Xenopus tropicalis: one gene and its partners. The protein of the gene in region 3 interacts with the protein of the main gene of each other region in a pairwise test. Links are inferred from orthologs where the notes say so. Each region holds a gene or a part of one and is shown on either strand. Other genes may lie near its edges.

Evidence for each region.
Region 1: the proteins of zhx1 (region 3) and zmynd11 interact in a two-hybrid assay, tested with the Homo sapiens proteins (2 studies listed by BioGRID and IntAct). The link is inferred for Xenopus tropicalis from reciprocal best matches to the Homo sapiens genes ZHX1 and ZMYND11.
Region 2: the proteins of zhx1 (region 3) and ube2i interact in a two-hybrid assay, tested with the Homo sapiens proteins (2 studies listed by BioGRID and IntAct). The link is inferred for Xenopus tropicalis from reciprocal best matches to the Homo sapiens genes ZHX1 and UBE2I.

Annotation. Positions count from the first base shown.
Region 1 is NC_030682.2:18,849,523-18,853,022, reverse strand, and holds part of zmynd11 (zinc finger MYND domain-containing protein 11), read right to left. Parts: intron 1,538-3,500; coding exon 1,445-1,537; intron 1,152-1,444; coding exon 1,064-1,151; intron 1-1,063. UniProt on the Homo sapiens protein: Chromatin reader that specifically recognizes and binds histone H3.3 trimethylated at 'Lys-36' (H3.3K36me3) and regulates RNA polymerase II elongation. Does not bind other histone H3 subtypes (H3.1 or H3.2).
Region 2 is NC_030685.2:28,773,312-28,777,597, forward strand, and holds the end of ube2i (SUMO-conjugating enzyme UBC9), read right to left. Parts: intron 2,928-4,286; coding exon 2,818-2,927; intron 2,727-2,817; coding exon 2,647-2,726; intron 1,460-2,646; coding exon 1,396-1,459; 3' UTR 501-1,395; downstream 1-500. UniProt on the Homo sapiens protein: Accepts the ubiquitin-like proteins SUMO1, SUMO2, SUMO3, SUMO4 and SUMO1P1/SUMO5 from the UBLE1A-UBLE1B E1 complex and catalyzes their covalent attachment to other proteins with the help of an E3 ligase such as RANBP2, CBX4 and ZNF451.
Region 3 is NC_030682.2:139,794,573-139,798,690, forward strand, and holds the start of zhx1 (zinc fingers and homeoboxes protein 1), read right to left. Parts: upstream 2,801-4,118; 5' UTR 2,666-2,800; exon of another isoform or gene 2,314-2,665; intron 1-2,313. UniProt on the Homo sapiens protein: Acts as a transcriptional repressor. Increases DNMT3B-mediated repressive transcriptional activity when DNMT3B is tethered to DNA. May link molecule between DNMT3B and other co-repressor proteins.

The DNA of each region.
Region 1 (3,500 bases), about 120 Mb from region 3:
GAAAAAATGTATATAGAAAATACAGCCCTTACTGAAAGTTGTGACATTTGGATGAGAACTTAGTTTTAATTTACTGATTACACTGGCTGTGATGTTATAACTGGTTATAGTAAATCTGCTTTAAGGATTAAGTGGCACCATAATCAGTTAGAGTCAATCCAGTATGCAGTAGTCGATCAGCCACAGTGCTTTTGGGCCACCTGCAATATTGTCTTTGGGGCTAATATACTGCATGTTCAATGAGCCCCTAACATGGCAATGTTTAGCTATTGCTGCTCCTTATTGGACCAATTTATATGTGATACCTGTTTAAGTATATTCTAAGTATTATTCTATCCAATCAAAAAAAAATAATATATATATATATATATATATATATATATAAGAAGAACCATAGAGGAGCACTCCCAAAACTGATGTAGCAACTTCCCCAGGTGCTGGTAAATATGTTAAATAGAAAAACATAGTACCACACTCAATGGCAATACTTGTGAAAGATCAAAATTTATTGAATTTTTTTCAATAAATTTTGAGTTTGCACAAGTATTCCAGTTGAGGGCAGTACTATGCTTTTCTATTCTATACACATATGTGTTTGTCTTCTTTCTGTTAAGACCTTGAATGTCTCTGCCTGCCTTCATTTCATTCTAGTATCCAACATATACGGGTATGGAACCTGTCATCCAGAGAAAAGGGAATCATTTAACCATTAAATAAACCCAATAGGGCTGTTCTGTCCCCAATAAGGGGTAATTATATCTTAGTTGGGATCAAGTACAGGTACTGTTTTATTATTACAGAGAAAAAGGGAATCATTTAAACATGAAATAAACCCAATAGGATTGTTCTGCCCCCAATAAGAGGTCATTCTATGGGATCAAATAGAATGAATAGAACATGGGTAGGTTTTCATTTATTAAGCTCTAAACTCACATTTTATAAATCTGCCCAATAGTTACAAATGAATGAAATGATAATTGTATGCAGAAACCTGTAGAATTTTGCACTTCTTGGACATACCCCATGTTTTACTTAAAATGCCAAGACAACATTATATAATTACCTCCATAAAAAATAATTGTGTTGTGTAGAAGTAGCTGTGCATCCGCCTTGAACTCGTCGTAACTCTTGTATTTTCCTTCAGTCACTTTCTGCACAAAACAGGAATTTCGAGGAAGAAAGGTTAAGGGAGGGAGACTGCAGGCATTTTATCTACAGTGCAAAATCTGGCAATCTCTCTATGTACCACGGTTCTTATACTGCAACTGTCCTTACCTTTTTGTTAATAGGAGCACAATAAAAAGGAAATAATCTGTAGAAGACTGTTGTAGTAGCAGCCAAAAGTGCCTATACCTCCACAGTAACTGCTTAAGCCTTATTCTGCTATAATGTTAGTTTTATTCCACAAAACAAAATGTAAAGCACCAGTGTACACAACATTTACCTCATTAATAGTAGAAACATCAATGGTGGTATGAACTAAACGTCTATACATCGGATGCTTGCTATCCTTTCCTTTTTTATTGAGTTCAATCGCCTACAAAAATAAAGGGAATGATTTGTTTTTGAGATACAGAATGTACATACAATTTCAGGCATTTAGGTACATATAAAGCTAGAATACATAGCTTTGATTCATACCACTGCTCTTCCAGCCTTACGGCAGTCTAGAAGCTGAAAAGACTTACCCCCCATACGTACTAAAAGGCACAAAGTTTGCCGAGAAGCAGTAACCCATACAACGAATAAGATGCTAACTTTTTAAACAAATTATCCGAAAATGCTACCTGTTGATTGGTTGCTATAGGTGATAAGAAGTGTAGAAAACTTTGCTTCTGATATTACATTACCTCTCACAAACAGGCACTAAGTGTGGATTTTAGCAAAATACATTCGGAATATCCACCTGTTACACTACAGGATTTGGTTCAGGATTTGGGCAAGATTTGGCCTTTTCCAGCAGGGTTCAGCCATGCTCCTGGCCGAACCAAATCCTAAATATCACGTGACTTTTTTTTAACACAATAGCTGAAAGTTTTTCACTAAGTGCTGTTCATGGTCTCTTTAACCCTTCCTTTGCTAATTTACATATGCAAATTCGGATTCGGTTCAGTATTTGGCCGAATCTTTCACCAAAGATTTAGGGTTCAGCTGAATCCCAAAATTATGTATTCGGTGCATCCCTAATTTTAGATTTAGAACTTTAAAGACATATTCATCTGTACATGGACTTTTAGTAAGATTTGCAACTGGACTTTTTTTTTTTGGTTTTCAGATTATTTCTGATCACCTAAGGTGGGCGATATCTGATGGGAACAGAACCCATTGGTGTGAGGACCGCATCAATGAGTCGATGCAGCCCCCGATTCCAGAGGAAAATCAAACCTGCCTGATCAATATCTTCCCAATTATAGGCCAGATATTGGTCGGGTAGGCCTGTTGGGGGTGCCCATACTTGGGAAGATAAGATGCCGAACCGGTCTGAATTACCTGAATTAGCAGCTTAAATTTGCCCATGTATGGCCACCTTATCTTATTATTGGTATCAGCCAGTGGTTTGAATTACAGACTGGAAAATGAATAGTTAAGGGTTAAGATACAAAAGCAATAATATGACCCCAAACAAGAATTTCTGTTTTTTGAAAGGAACATATTTGTTTGAAAAGTGCAGAAACTTTGCTCTTGCTGTAATGGAAGTTATAATTATTTGCTGTATTAGAATGCAGATAACTGTTTCAGTTTACACTTGGTCATGCCTCCATTGCTTGTGGGAGCTGAGTTAGATAGTTTAGTCAGATGATTGAATTCTCTGTATTATGACCCTCAAATAATTTAGCCCAATTCCTGTGATTTCTCACTGTTGTAGTTCTGGAAAAAGTTGTGGCTAATAAATACTCCTGATGACACTAGCATTAAAAATAATATAAGCTGTATTTATTTGGCTCATTATACTGTAGGTGTGTATATAAATGGGGGGAACATTTAAAATCATTTTTAGTATGTTAGTAGGGAGTAGTATTCTCAGAATTTGTTTTCATTTATTGTTTTTGTGGATTTTTTTATTTTCAATTCTATGTGTTTATTGAATTACTCATCTTTTTGGTCTGAAGCTCTCCCCCTGTTAGGGTCCCACAGACCATAGCAACCTGGCAGGTGAACAGGGGAAGTGCTGAATTAAAAGAATTGCAATAAAAATCTAGCCTTAGATGAATTCAACTGATTTCTAGTTGTCGAGGTCCACCAAAAAAGCATTTTCATGTTCACATTTGGAAAGAGCAGAAGAAAATAAAATAATTATTAAAAAGAATAGAGACAACAGACTGCAAATTGACTGAGGATACCAATGTCAACCACCTGCAAGCACTAAAAGTAGATGAACTCCCAAGTTTATTTGTGCTAGTTTCTTCCGTTAATGCCATCATGATATACATTATCAGCATCATTCATTTGAATATAATGCTATTAAAGTGTTCTTTTCCCATTTTTAATGCAGATTAAAC
Region 2 (4,286 bases), on a different chromosome or scaffold from region 3:
CCTCTGGGTTGCTATTAGGCAACATTCTAGAGTGTGAAAACAGGCCTAATCTTGGCTTGTGGTGGGGTCAGTTTTTCCAATTAGAGGGGTAACTGAAGTGGAGCTAATGCTTCATGGGACAGTAAATAGCTGTTCAGGAACATAAGAAAGGTGCAGATTATCAAAATGTGTGTTTTTATATGTGTTCCCCTTTACATGTGAATTGTAGGGATTAATACGAGAGCATGCATCTATGAAGTGGCACTTTTAATGGAAGATCTTGCTGGAGACCCTTAGTCCTGATAGAACAATTACCCTTTCCCAGGATTCCACACTGCTTTGGCCCCCGTTCGAATGGAAGTTCTGGCAAAACAACAACACTGTAAATAAATAAGGAAGACCAAGTGTTTATTAACAAATGTCACTTCCAATGGACTTGTTTTATTTGCATTATTATTTCGTGTAGTACATTGCTCATACGAAAGCAGGATCTATAAACAAAGATCATTATACTTACCAGGTTTTTTGGTTTACTGCTAACTGTTTTATTTAAATCTGCATTTCAGATTACAAGACAACAGTACGTTAGCCAACTACATCAAGATGCCAGGGCTACAATCGTTTTGCTCATCCTTTTCACGGCGCAGCAAGAATAGAACAGTTATAAAAAGTTCTTTTATATATATATATATGTACAGATTTCACACAAAAAATAAAAATGTCACAATGTCAGTTTACAAGCCTGAACACTTCTGCTTTGTGGTCCTCTTAATGAAAAAGATAAAGAAACAAAAACTTTATATAAACAGTTTATTTAATCTAAACAGCAACACAGACAAAACGCCATATAAACAAAGGAAGTGATGCAGAAGCAAGATGCTGACTGACATTGAATCTCTGAGGCTCTAGGTTGAGGTGCAACCTAGTTTCTTAAAGACGTAAAAAGAAATTTGGGGTAGGGGAGGGGGTGGAATTTATGACATTGTTCTTAATACAGCCAGCTAGAGGCTAGATATAGTTCTAAACATTTGAAAGCATGCCTGCATCAGATAGCAAAGGAAAACTAGAGATTACTAGTGAATTTATAGAAGTATAAAAGTTTTATCATTTTACAGCAGTTGAAATACTGACATCAATATTAAAATAAAAGCAAGTTTTACATCATAACAATCAAAATACAAAAAGACTGAAGGAAGAGACCCTGTATGAAAAAACTGGGGGGGATATTCAGCAAATTTAGAACTCTATACAAGTGGCGGAAATGGAAAATGGCACACATACGACCCCCTCCCCTAAGTGAGAGTTTCAATTCTATTTAGCATCATTCAATTTTTGCAAAAAAAATTGTTTTTTTGTAAACAAGTTCTTGCCAAACCAATCCCTTCCTTTTATTTTAAGATGCTGCAAGGTTGAAGTTTATGATGGCGCGAACTTCTTGGCTTGTGCTCTGACTCTTTTTTCATATTCAACTCTGTTTTGGCTGTGGGAGGGAGATAAAAAAAAAAAAAAAGAATCAAGACAAATTTCCCAGGCTATACTCTACCTGGTCACCCATATGCCCTACCCTTAAACTAAATCCCTTTGTTCAGTCAATTTAATGACTTGCCCAACTTTGCCTGCACATTCTGTGAGTTGCCATCCATGGAAGCCTGTCTATACAGGGTATCAGAAAATGTCCTCTGTGAGGTGGAGTCCATCTTTGGCTTCCTGACAGGTCATGTCCCAAACCTCATGTCCCCCTGAATATACAGTATATTATACATACACACACACACACACACACACACACACACACACACACACACAAGTATGTGAGGTAATAAATAAAATACCCATTGTAAAATATGAGGATATCATAAGTCCCTTCTGAGTTCCATTGGACCTATGGGGGGGGGGGGGGGGGGCTATACCTGGGCCTCTGTGTACTTTAAAGGAAATGTCAACCCTAAAGATATTTTTTTTTCATAATAAAAGAAAAAACATAATTCTAAGCAACTTTCCAATAACAATGTATTAAAAAATATCAGTGCTTTAAATGGTTTTTTTGTAAATGTAATTGCTACAGAAAGCAGCATTTGCTGAACTCCCGGTTGTTACTTTTTAAACAATGTTGCGAGTGCCAGGCTCCTCCAGCAAGACAGGTCTGTAAAATCTGCTGCCGTTTGTTACATTGTTTTAAACACCAGAGCCACCAGGGAATAGAAAAGCACTGACCAACACTACTTCTAATAGCAGCTATATATACAAATAACTCAAAAACCATTACAAATATGTAATGAATGTATATTTCAAAGTTACTTAGAATTAAGTTTTCCTTTATTAGGCAAAACATTTTTGGGGTTGACATGTCCTTCAAATGCCAGGGCCTATTTTGAATCCTTGCCCAGACCTGGTGTCAGCTTAGGTAGGACTAAAATGGCAAGCTTGATAAGCCTGGGTGAACAAAGCTACTGGAAAAAAAAACTCAGTTCTCAATATTAGAGTAGTGAAATACAATGTGAATGCAAAAAAATTATAGCAGCCCTTTAAATGTCAAATAGACAGTATTAAAGCTAGCATCAAGTACAGTGATTTGTTTGCCTGTAAAGGGTAACATTACTACAGAAGAGGGGACATATACACAGCCCCTATCCCAGCCAGAAAAATGCCCCATACATAAACACTAACCAGTAAATTGTGTATGCCTCTGCTTGAGCTGGATCTTGTATATTTGGTTCATTTAGAAGTTCTTGTATTCCTAACAAGATCTTTATATAGAAAAAAAAAAGAGAAAGTTAATTGCAGAACACAAACTGTTCAGTATTATACAGAAGGACAGGAATCTGCACTTTATGATACCTGTTTAATTGTGATTGCTGGCCTCCAATCCTTATCTTCTTCTAAGATAGACAGACACACTGTGCCTGAAGGATAGACATTCGGGTGAAAAAGGGGTGGCTCAAATTTACCTGTGGAAAATGCAAGAAATCAGCATAGCACTGCCAACTGTACTGCAGAATAACAGGGCTTCTTTAACCACAAAGGCATTGGAAAGCAAGGCTCTAATTGCTTAGGGAAGGATCAGGCAAAAATCAACTGACACTGTTCTGGAGTGGGTGCATAGTGGAGTAGTGGGTTCTCCAGGTTATTGTAACCCTTACTGGTGGGATTAATATTGCTCAGTGCCGGCCAGTCCCACTCCCATCTAAACAAACTCATTCAGTATGGCCCTTTGTGCATAGCAGCATTATTGTGCTGAAACAAAAGTCAGCCCTACCGTTGGCATATATGATTTAAGCTGGTTGTCTCCTCCTGGTATCTGCCATATTTGGACTTTCCCCATCAGACTGCCAGCTGGTGAAACGCCATCTCTTACTTCAGCAGATCTGGGAGCTATATGCCACTAGCTGGCACTTGGCACTGCACACAGATGTTAGGTTTGTTTCCCTCTGATTAGCCACACAATAGTCAGCATGGGTCCTGAGCTTCATCTAAAGCACACACCTTCACAAAGTTAGGCAGAGAGGCCATTTACTAGATATGTTCTTTATGAAGCAAGCCTATACATATTGGCACAAGGAGCTATTTGAGCACCATATTGCATCCCTATTAAATAGCGAAATTCCAGAGAAGGGCAATTAAGCACATATAGGGTATGTAAAGACTCCGTTATGTGGAAAGACTGGCCAAGGTGCAAATAGAAGTCCTTAAGGGGGAATATGAGAACTATGTATGAATATATAAGGGCACTATAATCTCTCGAATGCTTTATTTACCAGTAGATCCTTCCATCTATATATACTATATATACTGGAAAAACTTATTGACTCGAGTATAAGCCGAGGGAAATGCAGCCACTACTGCAAGTTGGAGTGATATCACCCCCCTCCCAGCAGCCAATTAGCAGAACAATGTGAAGCATCAAGATAGCAGCTCCCACTATATATCAGAATAGCACTAAATAGTGAGAAATCCAAGTCCAGCTTGGGACTCCTCCAATTACATGGGAGTAGGAGAAACAATAGGTTAGCTGAAAGCAGTTCTAATGTGTAGCGCTGGCTCCTTCTGAAACCTCAGACTCAGCTCCCTTTGTTTGGCAAACCTTCACTCCTGTGTTAGTGCCTCATAAAATTCTGACTTCACTGTAGGCTAGTATTGAGTCCCAATGGGCTTTTTTTGCCATCCCAGATTACTGCCCGCTCACTGCCACCTGAGGCAAGGTTCTTACTTTGCCTTATGGCAAGAGCGGCCCTGACCTTAAGGCAATGGTATGTTTCAACAACTCAGTTCAAAATTAGCTCAGAAATCTTCTGCACCTCTGAATATAC
Region 3 (4,118 bases):
TTTAAGTTAACTTTTAGTATGTTAGTACTTATTCTTTATATATATTTTTTAATTATTTCTCTTCTACATCTTTCCAGTGGGGGGGTCACTGACCCCAGCAGCCAAGCAACTATTGCTCTGTGAGGTTACCATTTTATTAGTGTTACTTTTTATTTCTTATCTTTCTATTCCGTCCCTCTGCTGTTCATATTCCAGTCTTTAATTCAGACCACTGCCTGGTTGCTAAGGTAAACAAAACCCTAAAAACTTGATAGCTACTGAAATGCCAAACTGAAGAGCTGCGGAACTAAATAACTGAAAATCCACAAAAAATGAAAACCAACTGCAAATCAATGCCTGTCATACTAAAACTTAATTTTAAGGTGACCAACCCCTTTAAGGCTAACATCCCACTTGGACATCAATACTAACTGTAGATATTAGTATCACAATAGCCTTGGATACTATGATTGTTCAAGAACTTATCCAGGCCCCTCTTATAGGCATTAACAGAATCTGCCATTACCCCATCACTAGGAAGGGCATTCCCCAACCTCACTGCCCTCACCGTGAGGAACCCCTGACGCTGCTTGAAATGGAAGCTCCGTTCCTCTAATCTATAGGGGGGGCCTCTGGTGCGTTGATTGTTTTTATAACCCCTTCTGATATACACACAAGTAGTTTTGAGTTGAAATCTGACCCACATTCACAGTGACAGACGGATGCCACTGATATCATAGAACCAAATGTGACATTAGCCTAAGGTTTTAGCATGCTGGGGAAATCACTACATAGACAAAATGAGGCCCTGAAGTTTGCAAATATATATATATAATTTGTTATAAATGGGACTCGTGTCCATGAAGATTTTCATTTGTCCTGATCGCCATATACAGTGTCTATACAGTACATCTAAACAGGGAAGACAGCGCTTTGTAATTTCAAGAAACAAGGCCCGGGTACCAGTTGGAAACAAGGCCCGGGTACCAGTTGGAAACAAGGCCCGGGTACCAGTTGGAAACAAGGCCCGGGTACCAGTTGGAAACAAGGCCCGGGTACCAGTTGGAAACAAGGCCCGGGTACCAGTTGGAAACAACGCCCGGGTACCAGTTGGAAACAACGCCCGGGTACCAGTTGGAAACAAGGCCCGGGTACCAGCTGGAAACAACGTCCGGGTACCAGCTGGAAACAACGCCCGGGTACCAGTTGGAAACAACGCCCGGGTACCAGTTGGAAACAAGGCCCGGGTACCAGTTAGAAACAACGTCCGGGTACCAGCTAGAAACAAGGCCCGGGTACCAGCTGGAAACAACGTCCGGGTACCAGCTGGAAACAACGCCCGGGTACCAGCTGGAAACAACGCCCGGGTACCAGTTGGAAACAACGCCCGGGTACCAGCTGGAAACAAGGCCCGGGTACCAGCTGGAAACAAGGCCCGGGTACCAGCTGGAAACAACGCCCGGGTACCAGTTGGAAACAACGCCCGGGTACCAGTTGGAAACAACGCCCGGGTACCAGTTGGAAACAAGGCCCGGGTACCAGTTGGAAACAAGGCCCGGGTACCAGTTGGAAACAAGGCCCGGGTACCAGCTGGAAACAACGCCCGGGTACCAGTTGGAAACAAGGCCCGGGTACCAGCTGGAAACAACGCCCGGGTACCAGTTAGAAACAAAGCAGGATAAAGTAAATAAACCAAACGCTGCACTCACAGCCCTTCTATAAAACAGGGACAGGTGGTTTATTTTGTGTTCCAACAATTCAGTGACATAATGGCGCCTTCCTCTCCACAAAGGGTGAAACCATTATGTGACAACTTGGGAAGCAAATATGTCCTGTTTCATAAAAGACCTGCAAGTGCAGATTCTATATATCTCTCTGCAATCAGGAACGATCCCATGATGGGCCAAAACAAACTGCCATGGGGGGCCCATACACCGGCCGATAAATCCCGGGGATTCGGCCGTCGGCTTACTGGCCAGTGTATGGGTCCCTCCAACAGCTCTGCCCAGTTTGGCCAAATATTTTCCAGTCAGGAATAAAACATAGGGAAAACAGCACTGCACTCTAATTCATGAACACGCAGAGATCATGCAAATAAAAAAAATAAAATCACATATAAATGATATATATATAGCAATGAATCTCCTGCTGGGTGCAGGGAGGAGTTCAGATATCTATCTATAAAGCTATATATATATATGTGTGTGTGTATTTGGGCACAGAGTGATGTCATCACCCATACAGCTGAGTGACGTCATTGGCATCACATGACTCCCTAAATTGTGCGTTTTATAACCAATAAGATTCTGTGTTGCACAGTAAGAAGCAGCTCACCTGAGGGACTGATATCCGTGTGTATTGCAGCAGTGGGACAGAGCCATTACAGAGAGGGTAGAGCTGCTGTGCTGCTTCCTAGGGAGATGGAGGCCAGTCAGTAAGGGCTATATAACTGGCTATATAACTGGCCCAGCAGGGCAGTGACTGCCCCACACCGAGTCGCCATCAGGGGGGGAGGGTTTGAGGTTGTAGGGGGGCTCGGCTGTGCTGGACCTATTTACATTACCGGACCCCCTATTGCCAGTAACCTGCAGGGACAGTAGTTGCTAGAGTCCCCGGCATGTTGTTCCCCCTACACTGCCCGCCAGCCCCACTCTCCCTAGCACAGCCCGCACTCCCGGAACGCTACCTGCATCTCCTGCAAAACTGTTAAGTGCAGGCTCCCAGCCTCCTGGCTGCCAGGAAATCCCGAGGCCGCACGTCTCATCTCGCGAGATCTGGCTGCTCGGAAAGCGCCGTGACGCACGACGTAGCCGCCTTGTGGGTGTGGCCATCCAGCGTAACTGAGACTTACACAATCGGTAGTAAGCCGCGGTTACTCACCTCACAATCCGTTTTGCCTCAGCCCCCGCCTCCCGCTTTAGTTAGAGAACAAAAAGAAAATAATAAAATATTTGTTTTCCGTGTAGGTTTCTTATCTTGCCCGCCAGCCCCTCAGCTCCATGTTTCCGTAGAAGCCATTTATATTTTCTCTTCAGAGTTCCGACCAATTCCAGGATATTAAAAAAAAAAAAAATATCTATTTCCAGGTTGTCCACAGTCGCTTCCGCTATTCGAACCCTCTCTCCGTATTTTAACAAAAATGGAGGTTTTGTGCAAGTGAAGTCATTTTTCTATTTCAGGTTTATTGAACAGTATGTTACAGTAACAATCTTACACATCAGCTACAAACTTGGGATTGTGGAGTTCAATGACAAATTTTCAAGCTTTCTTTGCTTCATGGTTTTAGAGTTTTTTTTTGGCCTTTTTTGCTTTTTGTAGCAACTTTTTATCATTCATGCTTTTTCAGTTTGGATATTTTAGTAAATGACTTACATTCATGGAAAGTCATGGTTATTGTTTATCATACCTCCCAACATTTGAAAAATGAAAAGAGGGACAAAAAATTTTTTATTGGCCACGCCCCAATTGCCACACCCCATTTAAAAAAAATACCCCTTTTATATAGATCAAATGGCGGGCGCAGATGAAAATGTGCTATACCCTCATACTGAACGACCTAAGGAAAACAATATAGCAACTCCTACATTAAAATACAAGTATAGAGAGAAGGCAGTCAGTTATAAGTGAGTTATAACTAAGTACCAGTTTTGCCCCACCATACACAGTAGCCCCCCCCATACACAGTAGCCCCCAATACAAAGTAGCTCCCATACACAGTAGCCCCTAATACACAGTGTCCCCCTATACACAGTAGCTCCCATACACAGTGCCCCCTATACACAGTAGCCCCTAATACACAGTACCCCCCAATACACAGTGTCCCCCAATACACAGTGTCCCCCTATCACAGTAGCCCCCCATTCACAGTACCTCCCATAGGCGCAGCCTTCATCTGCAGCTTCGTTATGGCTCTCCTTGTGCAGAGGGACAGGCCCTTTTATAAGGTTGGCCCCGTGCGTAATGACGTCACACCCACAGGCGCAACCTTATAAAAGGGCCTGTCCCTCTGCACAAGGAGCCGCATAACGAAGCTGCAGAAGAAGCAAGAACATCCAGCTACAGCAAGCGTATCCCGCTGTTCCGGATAATTCCATGAATGTCCCGCAATGCGGGACATTCATGGAACTATCCGGGACAGC